Oryctolagus cuniculus: one gene and its partner. The protein of the gene in region 1 interacts with the protein of each later gene in a pairwise test. Links are inferred from orthologs where the notes say so. Each region holds a gene or a part of one and is shown on either strand. Other genes may lie near its edges.

The links.
Region 2: the proteins of UBE2E2 (region 1) and RNF103 interact in a two-hybrid assay, tested with the Homo sapiens proteins (2 studies listed by BioGRID). The link is inferred for Oryctolagus cuniculus from reciprocal best matches to the Homo sapiens genes UBE2E2 and RNF103.

The regions. Positions count from the first base shown.
Region 1 is NC_091435.1:159,115,983-159,120,247, forward strand, and holds the start of UBE2E2 (ubiquitin-conjugating enzyme E2 E2), read left to right. Parts: upstream 1-1,157; 5' UTR 1,158-1,296; intron 1,297-1,339; exon of another isoform or gene 1,340-1,509; intron 1,510-4,265.
Region 2 is NC_091433.1:116,144,672-116,148,483, forward strand, and holds part of RNF103 (E3 ubiquitin-protein ligase RNF103), read left to right. Parts: intron 1-2,320; coding exon 2,321-2,436; intron 2,437-3,812. UniProt on the Homo sapiens protein: Acts as an E2-dependent E3 ubiquitin-protein ligase, probably involved in the ER-associated protein degradation pathway.

The DNA of each region.
Region 1 (4,265 bases):
CTTTTGTGAGATTTCAGGGATGTTAGAAAGAAAGTCAAGGTTGAAGAAGACATCTGAGAAAAGCAATGTTCGGTTCTAGACACAGGCACAGCTCTGGTCCTCCGGGGCCTTATTGCACGGATTTCTTCTGGACTCAGTTCGTTGCTCTGTGTAGGGCTCAAGGCGCCTGGGGGGTGGGGGTGGGGGGTTGGGTTTCCTCACCTAATTAGGTAGCTGGCCAGGTGATGCTCAGGCTACCTGCAGTCTGTCCCACTTCTCGGGCGCTAACCGGGCAGGGCTTCCGCACACTCCCAGCTCTGGGATCGCTACCCAGCAGAGGTGAGGCGAGTGAGAGCGTTCAGGGAAGACCTGCTGCAGGTAGGGGTGGGAAATCTCACGGGAGCGCCGTTTGCAAAGCGGGCGCCGTGTGCTCTGTCCCAGTTGTTGGGGGTGAAGAGCCCCCAGCTACCCGCCGGTGTGCGTTCTGTTCTGGGTCAGAGAACCAAAGGGCAGGATGACCTTCGCGCCGCGGTGTCGGGTGAAGGGTCAGGCCCAGCCCGGACGAACTTCACAGGCCAGCGTCAAGTTTCCCGTCTGGGTGCGCGTGGACACCACGCGTCCAGGAGTCGGGTTTGCCATGGCACCAGGAAGCGTCTGTGCGGAAGCTTTAAGGTGAGTGTGAGGTCAAGGCTGCAGTGGGGCCTCCCGGCCCCGTCTCCGGACAACCCCCGCCCCTCCCACCCCCCAGTCAGCCTTCCCCTTTAAAGCGCGTGCTCGTCAAGGTCCCCGCGTCCCCTCCCTGCGGCCGCACCGGCAGCCTCGGTTTCCCCCACCTCCCCCTGGCCCTGCCATCGCTCCCCGACGCGCTGCCCCTCGCCCACCCCCGGCCGCGGTCCAGTCGGCGCGCGGGACGCGCCTGTCACTTTACTTTTGCGCGCCGCCTCTCCGCCCCTCGCCCGGCCCGGCCCGGCCCGGCGGGGCAGCCCGGCCGTGCGCGCGCCCGCCCCCGCCCCCTCGCGGCCGCGCGCCGGTGGAGGAGGGGCGGCGTTGTGTTGGGGGGGGAGGAGGAGAGAGGCGCGCGGCGCCGCACGGCCGACGTGGGGCTCGCGCTCTCGCGGTCTCTCCCGGGCGGGCGCTCGGGCACGCGCACTCGCGGGCGCGCGCGCGGACGGCCGGCTGGCGGCGGCGGCGGCTCCCGGAGGTGGTGGCTTCACTTTCCAGGACTCAGGCGGCCACAGCGGCGGCGGCCGCGGGGAGCAGCCTCGGAAGCCGGAGCTGGAACGGCTGCGGGCGGCGGCGGCGGCGGCGGCGCGGAGGGTGAGTCCGGGGCGGGCGCGAGCGCGGCGGGGACAGGCGTGGCCGGGCGGTCGGGTGCGGGGTGCGTGGGTCCGGCTGTCGGCGATCGGACGGGCGGCGGGGACCATTCCGTGGCCCGGGCCTCCGCAGCCCCTTCCCCCGTCGCGCCGCGCAGCCCTGCCCTCTCCCGGCTGCGTGTGGAGCCCGCGACCTGCGCGGACACCCCTCCCTCAGGTACTCGCTCGGGCCCGCCGGTGCCCCCTGCCTCGGGCGCCCTCCCCGCCTGCCGGCCGCCTCAGCCCCCCTCGCGCCGCAGGTCTCCGTCCGCACCCCTCGAGCCCCGGCTCCCTTCCTCTCCTGCGCGCGGCGTGCACCGTGCCCGGCGCCCCCTCCCGAGAGCCTCCTGCCCCCGATTCTCGCCCTTTCCACCCCTCCCCCTCCTTCCCATCCTCCCCCCCTGGTGCCTCTTCCCTCCCTGCCCGTCGTCTACCCCCTTCCGTTCTCAGTTCCCCATCCTTCTCCACCGTGCCGGCCCCTACCCGCTCCCAGCCGCATCCTGGAACTAAGTCTTTGCAAAAAGTACAGCGTAAATGTCACGGTGGAAAGTGCCCGGCGTGATCTTTCGCTGTTTTCCCTAATTGCATAATTGCTGCACATGGTGTCTCCCCTGGCGAGTGCCAGGTCTGGCTCCGCCGCCCTTGCACCCCGGTGGCCCGCCCAGAGGAAGACCTTGGGAGGTGTATTTGTGTGTGCCCTGCTGTGGGGTGTGTGTGGTGTTGGTCTTTTGTGATGCCTGGTGCTTGTCACAGTTTGGAACCGAAGCCCATTTTTCTCTGCAGCCCCCACTGGCCTGGTTTGAAACTGGATTCCCTCTGCCCGCCCCCCCCCCCCCCAACACCAAATTCGCCCCTCTTTTTTTTTTTTTTTTCCTCTCTAAATATTTTGATCCTTTTGCCCTTTACCATTTCTAATGAAGATAAAGCGTGGCTTCAATGTGGCTATTTTTCCCCCCACGGCCAACCAGAAACGTCCAATCCATCTTCCCTTAAGGAAATTAAGGCCGCTTTAGAAAGACATCATCCTGTGCTCCGTGGCTGTTAGAGCCATTTGCATGTTTCCAAGATTCACGAGCGTCTACTCAAATATTTTTATTTAAAAGCACAAAAGGAAGTGCTAGGACCTATTCTCAGCTTATCTCACTGTTCAGAAAGGGTTTTAAGCTTTGAGTGTTTCGTCCTTGATTCTTGAAACAGTATGTTTCTGAATGTGTGATGATTCTGTCTGGACCTTGGGAATCTAAATATTTGTCTTAGACAGTTTGAACGCTCCCCTTGGCTCTTGGAGTTTCATATGTGAGCTGATGCTAAGAATGGAGTGTCTTCAATGCTAAGAATGGAGTGTCTTCATACGTTGTACCCCATCCCATCTCCCCTAGGACAACAGTACCCCACCCCCCATCGGGTGTTCCACAATTTCTTGCATAAATATCTTTACAGGTACGTTAAAAGCTAGGTATTGCCAGATGTTGTGTATATTCATATAGCATAAGTTATTTTACATATTATAAAAGTTTATAAAAATGTATAAGAGGACAGCATGATACAGATGACAGAATCGAACGTTTTCCTGGTAGGAAAGCTGACACGAACACTTGCTTTTTTAGTTTTATACTACGGGATACTATTGCAAGGCTTGTCTGCAGAGTGATCTATCATTGCTCTTATGTTATCAATAATATTTATAACGAAATCACTCAACATTTATGGAGCATGTGAGTTTCATTCACTGTATGATGCTCATTCCCAGGACTAATTGCGACATAGAGTACATAACTAAGACAAATTCAGTGTGTTGAAGAACAGTATTTAAACTCTTAAATATAATACATACTTTAGGAGGGTCTGCCTACCTGAAAATGTCTGTTTATAAGTCAGCTTTTGTTTTGAATGTGAACTAACAAGAGTAATGCACAGATCTCAGTCTCTGACAGAGCAGCTCTGTTTGGAACACTGGGATTTGTGTCTGTCTTTCCTCTAGATTAGATCATTGGGTCAGATTAGCTATTTAGGGATTACTTTTAAATATAATTTTAAAATGCTAATTTAGAAGATAATAGTTAAAGAGTTTTAATTCATTTTTATTCATTTGTACACTAGAGAGAAAAGACACCAATTTTATACTTACAACTAATTAAAATGATTTATAGACTACTTTTTCTTCATAAAAATCAGTTGCACCTGAGTGGTGCAATATTTCCTTTTCCATATTTTTCCTGTAATTAGTCATTCAAAAAACAAAATCAGCTGAAATTCCCCTTTTTATATTTTAAAAAGAAATATGAAAACCATTTCTAAAGTGTCTGTGGTGATTATCAGTGGTCTCAGATGAAGTTTTCGTTTGTAGGTTAAGATTTGGATGAAATAAAGTATCTTATAAGGTCAAAAGTAGTAACATAATTTTTTCTTTATTGTGAAACTATAGATAATTTTGCTCTATTTGGGCATTTTAAACGTAAGCATTTTTAATAGTTCTCTCCTTAGACTAATTTTTACTTTAGTCTTCTGATATTCTGGAGTAATTTATGAAATTTGAGTTTTAGATCATTGAGTAGTCTTTAAGTCTGTAATCATAGCATTAATAGATAGTGTGTCATGCACATAAATGGAACATTGAGAAGAATGTGAAGCTTTATAACTACTATGCACAGCTGAAACTCTAGGCATAGCTTATTAAATCAGAGTTTATTAAACTGAAGCTTCAGCTTCAAGTAAGAGAGTCCTATTTCATTTAGGCTCCCATATATTTGTCATGTAATGGATTGCTTCTGGTTAAAGATATGTAAAATGATTTCTTACTCATTTCATGTTTCTTAAAATATTGTTGGCAACACTTCGCTATATCTGGATGCCTTTCTCTGAGAATTATTCTTTCTGACTCCCATGCACATCTGCTCTGACATGCTATTGTGTACATACTGACAGTGTTTTAAA
Region 2 (3,812 bases), on another chromosome or scaffold:
GCTCTGCAGTGTGAGATGAATAGAACTAATTTTGGTTTTCCAGGTAATAACACAAATGTAACATCTGTACCAGCAATACACTGTGTAATCCATGAAAACCAAGTCTTCTTTTCCTAACGGTTGTTTGTAGCCTAAGCTCCTGTTTTTCATTAGCTATTTATTTCCCAGTTTTGTGGATGCTTTGATTCTGCCATCACTCAGTCTTGGCGTCACCAACTGAAGACGGATATTTTTTCACAAGAGACTTGCTCCAAGAGGCAGGTGGCACAGTGAATAGGGTTCTGAAATAGAAGTTAGCGTAATTTAGGGGTTTTATAGACTTACCCCTGTTAACATTTCATTTTCTCTGCTTTGACTTCTGGCATAGTTCAAGGAAGCACATATTTTTCCCAGCTGTGTCATATGATAAGGAGTTTAAAGTCCCTGGAACTGAGGTAGCAGTAAAGAGGGTCATATGATTTAGAGTAAAGTCTTGGGAGTCCGTGTTTCACTTAAGTATTATATATATTTCCTGCTTGGCTGAAAGGATTGTATGGCTGATTTTAAACTTGTTTATCTTTGCTCCTAGACATTAGTTTTGTTTAGGAATATTCTAACTTATCCCTTACTTAACACTACTCCGGAGGTGAAATAAATGGCAAGCCACTTTATCCTGTGTTTTGTATTGGTGAAAAACTTTTGTATTTACTCATAAAGTAAACCAGTTTTTTATTAATCATCCTTAACTTTTAATGATTTTATATAGCTTGCATAGAATATATGTACTTAGATTGCATGTATGTCTTGTGATGAGAATGATACACTCACACAGAGTGGTGTATTGGCACAAAAAGGAAACCTTAAACATTTGTCCGTCGCCAGGCCCTCTGTGTAGTCCTCTTGCTCTCTGACATGTGTTAGGGCTCCCAACAGAAGGAACCTAGATGAGGTCGCTGGAGCACATGTTGCCTTTCCCAGAGAGCTGACTGTTGGCACTCATTTCACACATCCACCTAGAGCTTCTTGGAGCTTTCTAAACGTGAAAATGGTTACTTCCTGCCAGGAAGATCGGAAGTCCCAGAGTATTGTGTTGTGATTTTAAAGTGAATAGTATTGGTAATAATGGCATTTATGAAAATAAACTTGGACCATATACACTGGCTTAAAGTAAATCAGATGGTTTCATGACAAGAAGAGACATTTTGGGTTTCCTTTTAAGTTCCACTTGGTTTTGTGGTTTTGTTTTTAATTTTTAAAACTTTGGTTATGCTTTCAAATTTTAGTTTTAATTTTTCATTTTATTTGAAAGACAGAGAGACAAATAGAGATCTTCTTCCATCTGTTGGTTCACTCTCAAATGGCTTCAACAGTCAGGACTGAGCCAGGCCTAAGCCAGGAACCCAGAACTAACTCCAGGGACCCAAGTACTTGAGCCATCTTCTGCCTCCCAAGGGTGTGCATTAGCAGGAAACTGGATCAGAAGCAGAGAAGCTAGGATTTGAACGAGGCACTCCAATGGCAGCAAAATACCCACCCTTTATTTGTTTTTTTTACTAATATCTTTACTGAAATTTTGCCTTCATTCAAGCCAGGAAGATTAGGGGATGAGAAGGAAAAAGTATTAATGGTTAGAAAGGCTGACATTCATCAGAAAAGTCATTGTCATTAGATATTTTGAATTAATTTAAGAATTTTTTTCTTTTTTTAAAAAAATCTTTTCTTGCAATCCTAATTGTATTTGAAAGCTATTTACAAATTTGAAGAAGCTTAAGAATGTAAAATTAACTATGGTAATTCTTTTTATATGTGAGAGCTTTTCATGATTGTTAAGAAAAAGTCATAAAAGTAGTATCGGTTTATTCAGAGTTTAATTCAATGGTAAGCACAGGTTTGACTCTTATTCCATAATTATGTTTTGAAAAAAGTAAAATTTGAACTTGTTGAACTCAATTTGTGATAATTTTTAATAAGTTTTATTTGAATTGTTGTTTAAGATTTTCTTTAAAGAGCAAAGAGAAATGACTCCAAGGACCATTTTCTTCTTGTGTAACTTTATTCCAGAAAAAAAACCATGGGGTGGAGAATGTGGCTAATTTTTTGATATGGTTTTGACTCCCCTTCTAGGTAATGGCCACAGAGTGTAGGAGTTTAAGTCTTTTCCAGTTGGGTAGTAACTCCTTCAATAAGAATTACTGTAATAATATGATACACAGTAACCAAGAACTGGGAACAAAGTATCTTTTTCCCAAAAAATGAAATTATATCATAGATACAAAAGGTTAGCTTGACTCCATTTTAGATCATTAAAGTTTATTTATTTTTTTCTTTTTTTGGGGAATAGGTCATAGCAAACGACAGAAGTCCCTTGGTGGGTAGAATTCACTGGGAGAAAATGGTCAAAAAGGTATCAAGATTTGGAATACGGACAGGCACTTTTAATTGTTCCAGTGATCCCAGGTGAGTTGTCAGGCAATTCTTAGACTTTGAATCCCAACTAAGATCTTTCTTGTTTAATAAAGACAAGGATATGGAAGCCTGCTTGAACTGAAAGCTAATTATGTTTATCACACTGCCAGTTACACAGATGCTTGACTAATAGTTTTTTGATAAATTGGTGCTTAACTGATTTTCTCTCTCAGATCTTTTTCTCCTTTTTTTTTTTATTACTCCCACCCCCGCCTCTTTTGTGTTCTTCCTATTGGGGGTAGATATCCTTTTGTTTTTCTTTTCTAATGTATTTGAAAGGCTAGAGACAGAGATAGAAATGCTTGAACAGCTGGGACTGGGCCAGGCCCAAGCCAGGAGGCTGGACTCAATTTGGATCTCCCACATGGTTGGCAGGGGCCCAACTACTTGAGCCATCACCTAGTGCCTCCCAAGGTGCACATTAGCAGGAAACTGGAGTCAGAAGCAGAGCTGGGACTTGAACCCAGGCACTCTAGAATGGGATACGGGCATCCCAGGTGGCATTTTAACTGTTACACCTAACACCTGTCCCAGTTGGGGGTATCTTTTTAAGAGTATGTCAGTTTTCTTTTCCAGAATGACCTCCGCAGATTCACGGCTTAGTTAACATCTCTGTGCTAATGTAAATCTCCTGTAATTCTAACCTCTAATGTGTGTTTCTGTCTGCTCTGTCCCATGTGCATTCTTTTTCCTGATGTCCAAAGTCAGATCCAGCCTCTTTTTCTTTAATCAGTCATGTTCCATTTCCCTTTCTCTCTCCTTCACTGTTTTTTGTTTTTTCTCCATCTACTCAAGCAAGAATCCTTGAAAAGCTCCGTATTTCGGGTTGTCATCGCCAGTATTTATTCTGACACATTATTTTGTGTTCAATATTACATTATTTCTTCTTTGAAAATGTTCTATTTTTACTTATGATGCCACCAAGTTATAACTTGTAGTCATTCATTCATTTGATTATTAATTTGATGGATATTTAGTAAAGATAAGTGTATACATCAAGTTTTGTTTGGTGCTGCAGTGGAGGCACATCATTGATTGATGTCTATGTAGAAAATCCTCCCGCACAGTATTAGGTAGTTTTTAGGTAGTTTCTTTCTTTCTTTCTTTTTTTTTTTTTTTTTTTTGACAGGCAGAGTGGATAGTAAGAGAGAGAGACAGAGAGAAAGGTCTTCCTTTTGCCGTTGGTTCACCCTCCAATGGCTGCCACGGCTGGCGCGCTGTGGCCAGCGCACTGCGCTAATCCGATGGCAGGAGCCAGGTGCTTCTCCTGGTCTCCCATGGGGTGCAGGGCCCAAGCACCTGGGCCATCCTCCACTGCACTCCCTGGCCACAGCAGAGAGCTGGCCTGGAAGAGGGGCAACTGGGAA